Caenorhabditis elegans: one gene and its partner. The protein of the gene in region 2 interacts with the protein of the main gene of each other region in a pairwise test. Each region holds a gene or a part of one and is shown on either strand. Other genes may lie near its edges. The genes, in order: ceh-30 and sox-3.

Region 1 (8,251 bases), about 12 Mb from region 2:
AAATCTGAAAATCAAGAACTAGACAATTTTGTAATTTGTCCTATATGCAAGTGTGATCAACTGTTCAATGATCCCGATTAAAGGTGTCAAACTTTTGCCTTCCCCCATATCATACACATTTCTCCCAAATTAGCATCATCTTCATTTTTTATTCATCCGGGAGCTCATCGGACAAAGGAGACGACAGGTGTATACGTGTATTTGTCAGTGTGTGTGTGTGTGCTGAGTGTAAATTGAATCAATTGCCACCAGCCCCCTGAGCTAATTCCCTTGTAATCTTTTTATTGAGAGCAGCAGTCAATGATACATTAGGGGTGGTTGACGAGCCACATCATCAGATCACGGATCGGTGCGCAGAACATCATGATTGTCTCCGTTGTGGCATAAAATATGGGAAGAAGATCAAGTGATTGTAAAACAATCATTAGATTATCTTATTCTACCTAATCCAGAGGTTGTTAAAATAATACTAATTATGAGGTTATAATTTTTATGACCCCATCGACGGAACCAAATTCATCGGAATGGTTGCAAACTGTGTTTTTGGATGTGTTCATTCACAATTCACCCCACTACCGTTCACGGTGTGGTGTCCAATTGCTTTAATGACACCGTTCCTTCAAAATCCTATTTATTGGCGGTAGACGATTACCGTACTCGTCTCCTTTCTCCCCTGTCTATTCTCGAATTAGATGTCAAGTGGGTTTCAATGTGTATATGTGGGTGTGTGTGTGTGTGTGTGTGTGTGTGTGTGTATGTACACGACCAATTTGTCTAAAGACGAGAACGATGATCAGGATGAGGGCCTGGAGTTTCTCAAATGCGAGATTTCCACTAAATGAGCCTGGTTTTGTGGGCGACGAAAAGGGGAAACATAATAGAAGAGGAGCGTGTTACATGGAATTAGGCGTGTTAGTTGTTAGTTGTCACTGAACCGGAAGAATGCACACTTCTTGCGTGCTTACACAAACATACCACTAGCCTAACACACTACCAATTACCAATTATCTTAAGCTTACTAATGAACGACACTTGTGCTCTTCCGGGGACAAAATTGAAACAATGAACTGTAGAATGGAAGCTGCTATGATTTTTTATCCTTAAAAATTTATACCATTTCAGCAATATGAGTTAGAGAGAGCAATTATATATTGTTAAGTCAAATGTTATAAATTGAAAAATGTAGCATGATAGTAATTCTTGAAAATTTTCTAATTTGAAAGGCATCAAAATATGTACTATCGACTATTTTTTCTAGGTTCACTTTAAAATTTAAAAGTTCACAAACTTTAATTTTATTATCAAGTTAACAACAAATTTGTATATATTCGCGCCTGTAGCAAGCATTTTAACTGAGATCGTGGCGAGACCCACTCAGAAAAACAATTTGTGCCTTTACTATGAATGTCAAAATTTTGCTAAATTACTACATATCATTTTTGAAAAAAAATTTTGGAAAATTTTTATTGCGAGAAATGTTTATTGTTACTGGTGAAAACTGAGTTCGATTCACACAAAAGTACCAAAATTTCCAATTTCTATTTGAAAGGTTTTATCATGATCTTTGGACATTTGAACACCATAGAAATAAGTTTTACTAATTTCTCCACATTTTTTGAAAAAGTGAGCTAGGAACCGTCTGTCAGGTAAAGGTATTTGTCGAACAGGTGAGGTGTTAACGACGCCTGCCAAGTATTCTATCTCACATATTTACCTCTTCCGTCGCGATAAAATCAGAACGGTTGCGCCACTCGCCAACACCTGGCGCTTCTGGCACGTCTTGTGTTCATTGTATTTTTGAATGCCCCACCATCTCCAGTTTTCTTATCAGATTTCGGAAATCGTCATCATCCACGAACAGCATAATAAAATAATAATATTATTATTAATGACGTGGAAATGACATAATCAAGCAAAATAAAAATAACACAAGCGATACATATGCAATGTTGTGAAAAAAAGAAAGCGTCTTCTCCCTATCTAACCCATTGAGATCGGTTTTTGTGACTTTAATTGAAAATATTACATACAAATTTTAAAAATTAACACAAGAAATACTATTCTGAGTTGCTGGAAACATCCAACTGAGGGGATTCACTGGATATGTGAGTGGATGGAGAATTTGAAGAGGAGGAAGGCTGGAAAGCATGGGCTGGGGGAACAATCATAGACATGGGTAGGCCCATCATCGGTAGCTGAGTGCCCATAGGTAAGGCTGTGATATAGTTGGCCCAATATGGACTGCTTCTGATCAAGTTCTGAACTGCGGAGAGGTTTCCAGGTTCCGATAGAAGATCCATTCCACTTGTTGCCTGTCGCTTCCATTTTGTTCTATAAAAAACATTAAGTAATTTGAGTAATTTGAATTGCCGTATTTTGTTCCACTAGACCGGACGTCTTCACTTTTCACATCTTAATTTTTGAGTGTCCCGTTATTGTAATAATGATGTTTTTATGTCGCAACTAGATATATTATATGTATTAACCACCACTTGACTATATTCGGATTAATTCAACGCTGCCGAACCTTGGGACCAAAAGCAGGTGATCTGCCTCTTAGCGGACTCATACGCCTCATTATTGTGCAAAAGAGCAGGAGACCACCCCGGCGATAACTACACAACAATAGCGACGTTTTGAAAGGTTTTCCAGATTGTGAATGCATGGATACATTTCAAAAGAGGCACAAATTCGTCTATCCACTTCATTCACCAATGAAACCGATACTAAAAGCTGGTGAAAATTTGATGATGACGACGATGATGATGCTCTGATGACAAGTCATCACATCAAATATTCACATAGAACACCGCCGCCTTGAACAATAATTAGGAAATGTGAGCGTGGTTGGTGTAGTAATCTACAAGGGTGGGCTCAATTGGCGGCTACGCTTGTTATTAATTTGAGAATGTACATATGTATGTTAAGAATTGACTCTGCTACCAACGATAATTCCAACGATAATTCCAACGATAATTGAAAGACGTTATTACTAACCTTCTATTTTGGTACCACGTCTTGACTTGAGTATCAGTGAGACCCATTCTGTGCGCCAAATCCATCCTGTCCTGGACTGATAGATACTTTTGCTTTTCAAATGTATTCTCCAACTCTTGCAACTGCTTGTCAGTGAAGATGGTTCTTGCCTTCCGAGATTTTTTGCAACTGCCTGGACTACCCATTCGATCGCCGCCGGGGCTGCTTGCTCTTGGCGAAGTTGAAAAATCAGATTTAATTGATTGTGGCGATGGGTCTGAAAGTTGATGGTTATTGATGCACAAAAAGAACAAAACAAAAGATTGACCCCGGAAGAGAACTGTATTCATATGTTCATTAAGGCATTAATCCTTTTACCCCCCCCCCCCCCTACATTCAAACTATCATTTCCGGGTAGTCACCATTGAGAGGAGAAAATCGAGAGCATGGTTGAGTAAATTTTTGATGGGTAACGCGCCGCGCACAAAACTTTTAATGGCTGTCGTTTTGAATGTTTGGAATTTTGGAATCAATTGCAGGTGTAATGACTTACCGTGATCGTTTGAATGGGATGAATTGTTTGGGGATTGCTCGAGAATGTCAGAAATGCGGAATGAAGAAGAAGACGAAATTTTGTTGCACGGGGAAGTTGAAGCTGCTTGAGCTAGAAGTGCTTGTGTAGTCGGATCCAGATAAAAAGCGGGAAGCAGAAACTGCCGAGGGTCGAGAAGTGACATTTTGGGAAGTGAGTGGTACTGTAGAAAAGTGTTAAACGAATGCTTTGCACGTTCGAAAGTCGGGAATGCGACACTGTTGAAGGCACCGATGATTGGTTATTGTCGGACGATGAGGGGTGACTATAAGACAAGTTAAATGTGCGAGAGTGGGCGGGGCGACGGCCTGGCAATTTGGGTGAGAGAAGAGGGTGCGTTGACATTGGGAAGGATGATGCAGCAGCAGCTACCACCACCGCCCTCCTAAACATGGTCATGACAATTACACTCGATTTTCGAGATCCAACGCCACATGAGAAGTCAATTATTTGTATTTAATAACACGAAATCTATAACTTGACCTTTCATTTTGCACATCTCAGATGATGCGGGGGAAAATGATGGCGAAAATGAGATGGGGGAAGATGGTTGGGAATAGCTGCACACTGCGGCTAATTGGAGCAACCTGTCAAACGGTGGTTCTAGGGAAACATTTGATGAATTGTCAAACTTGGAAATAAACAATATGGAATATTATTCTGCCAAAGCTGGATATCGAACTCTAATTTTCAGGTTGGTGCTCGAAATGTTAAAGTTTCATTTTCACAGTTTTTCACTTACTTGCAGAAAGACCATCTTACTAATCTCCATATATAAGCTTAGTCGGTTTGTTTTTCACAAAATCGACAAAAGGTTACTCAACGTATTTTTCGGCAAAAAAAAGTTATAGAAGTTACGGTAAATTTTTGTTACGAATCACGATTTCAGTAACCTGTAGAAATACGGTGATTGTTTTTTATTTAATTTCAAATAATTTCAATCATTGTTGTAAACACTCTGTTTCCTTTTTTTCTGAATGAATACATATTTTTGTCGCTTTTCTCAAATTAGTTCTGTTTATAGTTTCATTTTCCCCCAAAACACGTAATGTTGCAATAGAGTTTCAGAATAAGGCCACTTGCCGATATTATGAACAATCTTCGCTCTGTCCTTGAAACAATGCATTTTCACATCTTAACCAGACACAAAAATAATTTGAAACTGCAAAAAGCGTTAAAATCCCATATTCGGAGTGACAAAACCCATGTAATTAACATCCACCGATTCCTATATTTCGAAGAGAAATCTACTCTGAAGTGTCGATTAATTTTGCATACTAACCGTCAATTACAAAACAAATAAAATGGTTTTTTGTTTCGCGATTCCAAGCCGATTGGCATGGAAGGACATTCAGCTAATTTTCGACCGCCCAGCTATGTACATAGACATGTTTCAAAGTCATTGCGTTCCTCATTCCGCCAGCAGTTGTTTTATTTGATAGTTCACATAAATCATTCTCATTAGCTCTTTCTTCTACTTATATATTTGCTACCTTGGTAATGTTGAGAAACAAGATGATCGTTCCGTCCTTGTATATTTAGAAGAGGTGCAAAAAGCGGAGACACTTTCAACTCAACGTAGCGTAAAATATTGGGCGCGCAGGAAGATTGACTGGAAAACGATACAGTTACAAATTGAAAAATGGGAAGTTGAAAAAAAAAGGAAAATTGGAAGTGGAAATGAAAATGCATTAGAGATAATTGTCATTTGCCATTTCCCCCACTCTTAATTGTGAACATACATCTTGACACCCAGTAACAAGAAAAAAGCTGGCAATATGAATATGAGCTTGTTTAGGAGACAGAAGCCGCCTTTGAAATCTCCCGGGTAAGCAGGTTCTATTACATAATATCGTATCCTTTCCATACAGCTCATTACAATTGCCAACATAAATAATTAGATTAAAGGACACTCCCGGAAAGGTGTCGCAGACCGGTGGGACCAGCACACACGTGGCTGCTCTATTGTGTTCTGTTGCGCAATAGAGACGCTTCTTTTTTTTTGACAATGGCAATTGAGACCAGGTAAACGACTCCTTCAAGTGTGTGAAGCGGTGTTTATCAAAGCCACCCGGCAATTGTGTCCTTTTTAGGCACCTTTTTATGTGACATGTTGACTTATAGCTTGCACCGATCAGCGGCAGGTTAACGAATACAATTGATGGAACTGCCGGAAGTGTCAGGTTATGGATAAATTTGAAGAGTTATATAGATAGTTGGAAAGATAAAACGCTGCTTTGATAAACATGAAATTTATTTCAAAATTCTTATTACTTAAATATTAAACATATATTGGAACTCGTTTTGAAACCATAGTTTCTAAATTTATTCATTAACAAATTAACTTCTAACAGTGTTAGTATACACGTGGATTTATCTGTGAATTTTGGACAATTCACTGGATTCAATTTTGAACGTTCAGGCAAAAGGTTTAGTCATATTTAATCGTATTTTATAGTTCTCAACTCATATGTGACTGATGTGTTGTTTCTAAGCATTTTTTTATTTATATTGTTTTCAAATTGAAAATTTAATTTTTGCAGTGAAGATAATGTTTTTGCAAAACTAACTTCCTATTTATTCATTGCACAAAACACTTTTATAATCAAATTTTGTCTAAAGCACAATCATGATCATAATGGCGCTTTTTTCTAATTCTCTTTGGTCTTTGAAATTATAATATTTAACTTGACAATGCGGTTTAACTATACAATTAACTATACAATATACAACTACATATACAATTATACATTTTTAAAATTCAAGAAATAAGTGAAACTCTTGCCAAACATAGTTTTATAAAATCGCAAAAATCATTTTGTTTACATAAAATTGGAATTGAAAACTCAAAATGGCTATTGATTTTCCTGAATTCTTCAGTCAAACGTCAACAACCATAATTTTTGAAAACTAGACTATCAAAGAAATTTTGAGCGTTTCAGCAAGCTCGTATTCCTATGACTTTTAAACACAATTTACTGAAATTTTATATTTTGATCTGTATATTCAAACTATTTTAATTTGACTTACATAACAAAAATTAGTGAACACAGATTACCGTATTTCTTCTACTTGTCTTGAACCCTTACGGATCAATCGAAAATTAGTCTTGCATGAAAGACTAACAGAGGAAATACGGTAGCTACCACTTTTTGATAGCAAGTACTATAGAATTTAAAAAAGTGTTCAAAGTGATAGAATTTAAAAAAGATATAGAATTTAAAAAAGTGTTCCATTTAAATAATCTCCTCTCCGATAAAAATCCACTTTAAACAGTTGTTTAAAACCTAGTAAACGTTCATTTTTTTAAAGCGTTATTTTCTCTCAATTCCTTGAACATTTTTCATTTGATTATATATATATATATATATATATATATATATCGTAGAAATCGGTGGAAAAATATATTGCGAAATACCAACTGAAAACAGTCGACCATAATTCCTCTGTTGTCAAATTTTGTACAGCTGATTAAACTGTGCATATACTGCGGGAAAGGTGGGGCCACCACTCGCAGATCTAACAACACGAAACCTTTGTTCTCAAACTATTATATTCCCTCAAATATTATGTAATTTTTGTTATTAATTATTTCCACTTTTTTTCTCAATTCATTACTGTACCCCTCACTCATTGTCTATTCCATAGACCACCACTTGACAAGTTTAATTTGAAGCTGAGTCAGTGAACACAAAAACGTTCCGGGTATTACATAGTTATTGAAAAGAATTGGGTGCTTTTGGTTTAATGAATAATTTTTAGAGAAACAGGGACTAACAACCGAAATCCGGATAGTCGGGAAAATCTAAAATTTATGGGGAAGACTGATGAAACAATAAGGATTTTAACTGAATTTAAAAGTTGTGTTGCGTTTTTGTATGAGGATTTCAAAAATTCATACGCTTCTCCACTCAATAACAATAACAATGATTTTATTTTCGTTTATTTTTTTTTTGCCAGATTCAAAAGCAATGCTCTTCCGCTCATCGCCCTTTATTTGAGAACTCTTTGTGACGAATAGAAAGTTTCACAACCATAAAAGGAAAATTGCCACGCTTTTCCCATTTCTCTCTATTTTCCACCGTTTGTGTACACGTACAATACAATAAACAGAACGATTTTTTTTGGGGCGATTTTAATTTCTTCTTCATTCTTTTTCTCTAAATCTGATCCGATCACATAGTACGGTGCGGTTCGACACATTCATATTTTTTGTGGTTTGAAATTTCGAAAAATATTTTTTTGTTTGTGATAATTTTTGTTCCCGATTTTTGTTTAAAAACAGCTCCCCCTCGTTCACTCCCATGACTGTTGTTAAAGGCAGCTAGCTTCCGATAAATTGTCAATCGATATAATGCATAGCTATGTGTGTGTGTGTTTTTTTATAGTTCCACCGTGGCCGTTTTTGCCCGTTTTCCGCCCTCGCATATCATTCGCACCCGCAGTTTTGCAGAGACGACGAACCATGTCGAAACCCGAGGTGGAGAATCTCTTTTCTCTCTGCGACTCCGAATCCAAGGGATACCTGACGATGGAGGATTTGAGGAAAGTGTGCCCACAGCTTGATGATAATGTAAGTTGCGATTTTTGCTAAAAATTTGAAGTATTACAAAATGTAGATTTTAACAAATAATTTTTTTGTCTGTTTTTCTTATAAGAATAGCACCCCCATACCCTCAACTT
Region 2 (8,290 bases):
TTTATGCTACAAGTGACCCTAATATATAATAAAGAACAAATGAAATAATTAAATGTTTGTTGTAAAAAGCGTTCAACTCTGCAGTGATTTAGGATGTTTTGCCTCGGATGCCAAGGATCTATATATTTTTGGTTTTAGCATCGTATTTAGTAAAATTTTTTATTGTTTTGTAATATGCCCACACATATATATATATATGTATATATATGAATTTCCGGAAATTTTATCTTGTAGGTCACATGTCTAGTTGCTCATTGCAAAACGTTTTTTCCTGTCCAAGCTCATAATTTTCAAAACTCCATCGTCCAAAATTCTCCACTACTTTTTTCAATATTGTTCCACAAAAACCAGTCAGATGATTGACAGTCCTCATTTTCATTGAGTTTTTGTTCTGACCTTAGACATACATACATACACACATTGCACTCAGAAAATAGCAAAAATGCCCGTTTTAAATGCAATGAGAACCAGAAACAGTGAGGGTGAGTGTCAGCAAACTACGTTGCGAAGCAAAGGCAATACGATAATTACCATTGTGTATGTATTGGTATGTCTTTCTTTCAAATTTCCGTTAGATGAAAACAATTATGGGCTACCTTGAGACAAAAAGGCAACACATGGAACTGTGGAGTACTTGGTGAAGTTGAGTTGGAAATTGCAAGACAGTTTGTCACCAATGAAAAATGTGTAACAATTTTATGTGAAAGCCTTCCATTTTTGTTTAATATCATATCTAGCTGACTGGTGAGTATGTACATGTTGGGTAAGTCCACAGTACTTCCTTAATACTTGACAACTGTTGTGCGGCGCAAGGTGTTCATATCAGTGTTTATAACATTAATTTCTGACTATTTTGACAGATGTGCTTAATTTTGAATTTAAATACCAAATAAATACATTAAAATAACGTGTTTCACAAGTTTTTATACTATTTTTTCAATTGCATATATTTAAATAGTGATTTATAAAACATGGCTTTTCATGGACCGTCTCAATTTTCTTGAATTATTTTAAAAATCTGTTACCTGGAATATATATATATATATATTCCTAGTGTATATCAGGGCTGTGCGGCAACCAAGATTTTCGGCAACCTGCAATTACCGAAGTTACCGAACCCTAAAAATTTTGGCAACCGGCAGTTGCCAAAGTTTTTTCAAGGTTTTTTTTCGTTGAAATTATATTTTTGAAGTATGGTCGTTTTATTGTTTACAGTGAAATGCTAGCATTTTTCACAACTTCTCAATGCTTTTTTCTGAGCTACAAAATGTTTGGCATTCATATCTGCAATTGCCAAAGTTGCCGAACCCAAACCACATACTTTGGGCAACCGGCAACTTTTCGTCAACCGGAAACTTGGTTGCCTACTTGAGCGGTTCCGGGTGTTGACGAACTTTTTTCATGGGAAACTAATATCGGAATTGGATTCAGCATACCAATAAATCTTTGTATCTACAAGCTTATCCTGATATCTCAAAAATTGAGCGAAAAAGAGCAAAATATTGAAACATCTAACGCCCACCTGACCCATGAGATTTTTTTAAACATTAAATTTATCAGTTTCAAAATTACATTTAATGTGCATAGTACATAGGCGTCCACAGTAAGTTCAACCATATAGTGCTTCTGTCGTGTTTTCAAAAATTAATTATATTTTCATGCTTGTAAAGTAACGCTTGAAAAAGTTTTAAATGATGTGTCGTTCTCGAAAGAGGAAGTTCAAGTTTTGATGTTCACATAGCCAGGTTTGACTAGGTTTGGATAAGACCAAATTATAAGTCGTGGATTCACTGGAGCACTTGTTAATTTTTGTTTAATGGTAAAAATACTGTAGCGTCATGTTCAAGTTGCTCATTATTATGTCATAAGCAGTTATAAATCTTATGTTTCAACTTAGATAAATTGAGTATTAACTTAAGGTCGAAAAATTCTCGCAACATGACCTGTTTCTATAAATTTCCATCTAACAAATGACCATGAAATGGTTTAGACTTCCCTCAACTTTTTTCTCAGCGTGTGAACCGATTTGATTAGGCGTTTTAAGTGCGGACATTGTTCTCTTTGTTCAGGCAACCTCAACGAAAAAAAAAATGTAACTCCATGGGGGTATCGGTCGTCAATGACAGAGGAGGTGACAGGGGACAGCAAATGGTAAATATCAATGGCAAGGGACAGTGGGGGTGAAAATAAAGGAGAGAGGAGTAAAAGTTGTTGAATACCTTCTTTCCTTCCTTGATTCTATTCATTCGTTTCAACCAACAATGAATTGGAAGTTTGTTCTTGAACAATTCAATCTATTGTATTGAATTTGTTGTACAATAGAAGTCGCAAAAATTGAATACTAACATTACATTGGGCGCCTATTTATTCTTGTACACTTTTGCGGCAGGCACACTTTGAACAACCGTTAAAAAAAATACCGTATCCTGGTGATGAGCTTTTGAGTGCAGCTGACAAATAGATAAAATTGATAAAACCCAAAGTTTGTAGTTATTTCTTCACAAAATTTTATATTTCATTTATGGAAGATACAGCAAAATAGAAAAGTACAGGTAGGTTGCACATAGCACATTCGAATCAAAATTATCGAAAAATTAGAATCAATTTGTCTGTATGGCATTTGTAGGGAGATTCTGCTCATTGAAGGTGAAGCATGGTATTGAGCAAACCTGAAAATCAGATGGTAGTTTAAAATACAAAGTAAAACACAATTCCCAAACACATATAGACTATTCATCATTATTCTGAGTCATTTTTATTGTCTTTTCTCCGAAAGCGATAAGAAAATGGAATCATTGCTCATCTTCAAATCTAAACTGCACACATATGTCAATCATTCAGTAAACAGTACATTTCAACACAAAGCGCGCGACTTATTCGACTTATTCGCGCATGATACACTCACACCTTTTCATTCATTCATTTTTTGTGTGTTGGAAAAAATCAAACCGATACACTTCAAGTGAAAATAATAAGAATTTGGCATGGAACAATGTAACCGTGTGTAACCGGAAGTGCGCGAGGTGCACAATACACAAATTGGCGGGAGTCGAATTTAGTGGTGGTGTTAATTCAAAAAGAGAAGGGGGAAAGGAGGGTTTTACACTTGGACGCGTTTCTTATGGTTATGAACCGATTTCGGTCGGAAACAAGTGACCGACCACCTAATGTCTTTATAGCGGAAGAAAAGGAATGAATGACTTGTGGGAAAGTTGATATTTGAAAATTGAAGTGTAGTAAATTGTTGGGCGATTTGTATAGTTTGAAACAAGACTAGATAAGAATTAAGAGCAAAACGTCAACTAGAAGTTCAACGGAACATCAAGCCAACAAAAACCGTAAGATATATTCTTCCCAAAAGCTTTGCCTACCGTTAAAATTAACTTAATCTTTAAAAGTAAAAATTTCAAAATTTCTCAAATATTGTGAGCCTAAACTACTAAATTTTAATGTTAAAACTTTTCAAAAATTATTATTGCGTATTCAAGTTTTGATATGGAAAGCCTCAAATAAAATATTTTCAAATTTGGGTAGCTTGTTCATTACAGCCGCTGACTTATTTTTTGTCGATAAGCTCACAAAAATAAGCAACACATTTGTGTATTTATCGACTGTAACTTTTTTTAAAAATAAAACAAAAATGGAATCAACTACTGTAATATGGGATTGCGGTAGTTTGGGATTTCAGCTACACCGATTAATTTGTTTCAAAGTTTTGAATGTCAATAACACATATATAAGACTTTTTCTAGAAATTTTAGAAATACAGAAATGACTAATATATTGTTATGATACATTTTTTACTCTTATGTGGCTCTTCAAAGATCAACATTTCTCTTTTCTGTTAATTCAAAATACCTATACCTTATTAAACAATTCAAAAAAAAGTGTAACGTACATGACAATTCAGCAAGTTACGTGGCAGGAGCTGTTGGCGTTGTTGAAGCCGACACTTGACTTGCAGCAGCCACGGCTGCAGCTTGTCTCGCATAAGCAGCCATCATATTGTATGGAGCATAGGTTGAGCCGGATAATACGGGCGATTGGAAGAATGATGAGTAGTATTGGGAGAGGTCATGGGTTTTCAATGAGTCGAATGCTGTGGAATAGTTGAAAAGTGATTGTGGCGGGATGGTTGGCATGGCGATGTTCAAACGAGGTTGTTGCTTCAGATTGGAGGATTTTGGCTTTCTTCGTGGACGGTATTTGTAGTCTGGGTGCTCCTGAGTATAGAAATTAATAATATAACTATTGAAAAATGTAATTAAACTACCTTCATATGTAAAGCTCTGAGCCGTTTTGCTTCATCAATAAATGGTCGTTTTTCCTGCTCTGATAGCTGTTTCCATTCTGCACCCAACCGTTTACTTATTTCGGAATTGTGCATTTTTGGATTATCCTGAATAAATTACTTACTTACATAATAACCTAAAAAATTTAAATATTTAAAATGCACCTGTGCCATTTTCCTTCTCTGTCCTCTGCTCCAAACCATAAATGCATTCATCGGCCGTTTCACATGATCCAGCGAGTTTTGTAGATCGACTGGAGAGCCCGGAGGGCTTAAACCAGATGAAACAGACGTTGTGTCTTCGTCATAAGATGTTTTTGCAGCTTCAGTGCATAAAAGTGAAGGATACAGACAAGAGAGGTCAGTCATACCGCTGAAAGACAATGTATGCTAACAAAACTTTTGAAAAAATTAATACCAAATACAAATAATTTCGGGAAAACTTTGGAAATAATTTGAAAACAAGAAACTAGAAACCGAGAACTGGAAACCCTACTCATAAAATAAACGTAAGAGAGAAAAGAAAACCTGAATGAGGAAATGGTAAATTTCCGAAAAAAAAAAGAAAGAGAGACAGACGCGTGCTATATTATGCGTGTCCTCCCTCGTCTCAGTGGCCAACAAGAGGCGGCGCACAAATAGACGAGAGACAGTAGGCGGAGCCAAAATGAGTTGCGAGGAAATACGGTAATCGAAATTGATACTCAAGATGGCTCCTATGTGACCCTACTGAAATAGCAACTTACGCTGATATAATGATTGCAAGAACTCGTAGGAAGGTGAATGAAGTCAAGCATGAACTGTGAACTAATTTTGCAAATTCTCAATATTTCAAAAGTTATTCAAGAGTTCCTAGTTAGTTTAGTTCAGTGAAGCAAAACGACTTTTCTAATAATAACGGAACACTGAATACCTAGTTTGAGCATTTTCAAAAACGAATACAAGAAAAACCAAACACGTTTTTTTTTTCCATGAATTCTTATTCGACATCATATGACACTGTGCTAACAAACACATCGTGCTGATACTTTGGATGATACAATGTTTTAGATCGAACTTTTTACAGAGGAAAGTTAGGTGAAAAGTGACGGTTGACGATGGACGATGGGGCACAATATTTAATGTTGAAAATGTGTAAATTCGTGTTCTGTTTAGAATGTTGATTGTTCACTTCCGACCCCTCTCCGAACAGAGTTGGACGGGACGCAAGGCAAGAAATTTCAAAAAATTGCAAACGTGTTAAATCCTTAATTTAAATCCATTTCAAAATTTTTATGGTTTCCAGCACAATTATGTTTTTGAGCTCAACAAATTTTTAAATTGTTACCTGAACGTATTCAGAAACTTATATATAAAATCTATAAAACTAGATTTTTTAAATACCTAAATGATGTATCAAAACTTTCAAAATCAATTTGAAATTTTAATAAATATGTAGAGTATCTTTAGTATGGATAAACTTAAGATAATCCAACGTGATTGAATGTTATAGGAAAAAATTGAAAACTTTAGATTTAACAAACTTTGCAATCAAATTTTGGTAAATTGTTTAATATATGAAAAATTTGGGCTTCAAGGTACTTAGAGTATTGCCGCTTGTTTGAACTACTATTAAAAACAATTGGAAAAAAATTAAAATATACTACTCCTAGTGAAAAAGTTTTTTGGTCGACTTCAAAATTATGATAGGTAAAAGCTTTTTGACTGTGTATATATAAAACGTTTTACAGTGATATTTGGAAATTATAGCATTATAAGGCATATGCTCATGCTTAAATACTGTTATCCTATTTTTAATTTTCAAGCATATGTATATGAGTTATGAGGCATATGTATATGAGAACTGAGTCCCTTATTGTACCTCTAACTGGAAAATGTGTAATGTTTCACGTTCTAGACTACATTTTCTCTGTACTCATTACCTCCGTACCTCACCCTGTACCTTGAAATTCTACAGTACCCCTCTCCTGTAAACATTAGCTACTCACACAAAAAACAATACACTTCACATGACAAAAACTATTATTTTTACAAGAATTGAGAAAAGAAAGGGAAAAATGGGAAAGACAAAGCTGGCGGATCCGAGGTCCAGCACGCTTGAAAATGGTTCCTTTCTACAATGTAAATTTGCGATAACTTCGTTTTCGGCCCCTCCATCCCCCTCTCTTCTCTCACTTCTCCAGCACACCGCCCGAAGGCACCCACCACACTACCAGCACTTCAGAACACTTCTGGAGGACACGAGTTAATAAAGAGGAGAAGAGCTGTGATGGATTAAACAGTTAATTTGATGATTGCTCGCGCGAAGGTTTTGTGCAGATTATAAGCCAATTTGTTGTTTGAATAGATTTCATTGGCGTTTATAATTGAGATGAAGTTGAGATGCCACTAACACTTTTGTTTGTTTGTTGAGATGTTGTCCTGAAATTCAGAAAAAAAAGAAAATGATAACCGTTCTAGTCTGACATAGCTTAAAGTATTGGCACAGGTTGGAAAGAAGATCATGTACGTAACTTGTCTATCGTGCATTTTTTCTTCCCCGGACACTGTTTCAACATTTTTTTTAATTACCAGACAGCTTTTGAAGGCTGAAATTCATAACTTAAAATGTGTGTATTTAACAGGTACTCGCTTCAATTTTTGTGGAATTTAATCGAAAACATACTCAGAATAAATGAATAAATGAATAAAGTTACAAATAGATTTTTAAACTTTTTCTGTTTTTTGTCAGCATCTAAAAAGTTTTTGAAAAATTTGTAGTTGTTTTCTTTTTGGAACATTTATGCATGTTCGAAGACCTAAAACTTTTTAAGATAAGTAATTGAGTAATTGACCATAAAATAATACTCGGAGAAGTTTTTTTACTGATTTTCAAAATTATGACATGCAAACTGTAAATTAAATTTTTTTTTCAAAAAACACACACTTTTAAATTGTTTAAAGTAATATAATTCCAAAAGTTTGCCAACTGGTGATACCCTTTTTTTAAGTACAGTAGGCACAAATAGTGGTTTTTTCTCCACTCATTTATGCTAGTAACAAAAAGGAGACCGGTCAATTGGTGCCACCCATCTGACTTTTTTAAATATTTTTTACATTGTTTGCATAAGTACCTCTTGGTTCTTATTCACATAAAAAATTGAATTTAGATTATATGTTTAGTTTTGCCGATTTTATTCTAAACATTTTCTACATATCACTCCACTTTTCCATAATATTGTTTGATATCCATTAGCATAAAACATACGATTAAATGATGACACTTCATTAGCCATTGTCATACGGTATTTGCAAACACACGCCGCTCTCTCTCTCACTGCCACTTTGCTTCCGATCTTTGATAAAAGCCAAGTTTACAAGACGATTTAATAAAGGGTTTTATGAACTTTGACATTGTTGAATGCTCAACATTGTTGCAATTGACTTCTATTGTGTTGATGACCGTAACCACTGAAAAGCCCCCAAAGCTTACATTTTATTAGATTTGACTGATGCCGGATGGGAGTCATATAATAGATTTGTAAATTGAATCATGTATTCTTCTTGGCGTGGATTCTTGACATAATCCTTTGGGAATATCACTTATTATAATTTGGCTTTGGTTCCTCTTTTCTTGGAAATGTAGAAATAGCGTCATTTTATAAAAAACAGGATTTGAAAATTATTCTTGAAAAACTACTGAAAAAAGAATCGGATCTTACGTCAGATTGGAATTCCAGAAATTGTCTTCGTTTAAAGTTTTTTGGATAGATTTTAATATTTTTGAGGGTAAAAAGTTTGCAAATAAGATGAAAAAAGGTATTTATTAGATAAATTAAAATTTTAAATATTGTTATTGATCAAAATACTGTTGAGATTGGTATTGAAAGAACATTGAGAAATTATCTAAAAGTTAGCCTTTTCTCTGCTCAACATATCGTTGTGGAGCCGCTGGTGTATCTGCTCCTGGCCGTCTACAGTATCCAGTGCCGAACGATGTTACGTAGAAGAACGGACGGC

The links.
Region 1: the proteins of sox-3 (region 2) and ceh-30 interact in a two-hybrid assay, tested with the Caenorhabditis elegans proteins (one large-scale study listed by BioGRID).

The regions. Positions count from the first base shown.
Region 1 is NC_003284.9:3,059,168-3,067,418, reverse strand, and holds ceh-30 (Homeobox protein ceh-30), read right to left. Parts: upstream 3,846-8,251; 5' UTR 3,714-3,845; coding exon 3,530-3,713; intron 3,254-3,529; coding exon 2,998-3,253; exon of another isoform or gene 2,793-2,997; intron 2,685-2,792; exon of another isoform or gene 2,535-2,684; intron 2,532-2,534; exon of another isoform or gene 2,386-2,531; intron 2,332-2,385; coding exon 2,058-2,331; 3' UTR 1,868-2,057; downstream 1-1,867. Other genes in the region: rsef-1 (Ras and EF-hand domain-containing protein homolog), read left to right, coding at 8,034-8,141.
Region 2 is NC_003284.9:14,688,336-14,696,625, forward strand, and holds sox-3 (Transcription factor sox-3), read right to left. Parts: upstream 4,665-8,290; 5' UTR 4,661-4,664; coding exon 4,457-4,660; intron 4,400-4,456; coding exon 4,274-4,399; intron 4,224-4,273; coding exon 3,915-4,223; 3' UTR 3,899-3,914; intron 2,670-3,898; 3' UTR 2,495-2,669; downstream 1-2,494. Other genes in the region: hch-1 (Zinc metalloproteinase nas-34), read right to left, coding at 8,184-8,290. UniProt on the Caenorhabditis elegans protein: Probable transcription factor. Involved in the terminal differentiation of some neuronal cell types. Dispensable for neuronal fate commitment during embryogenesis.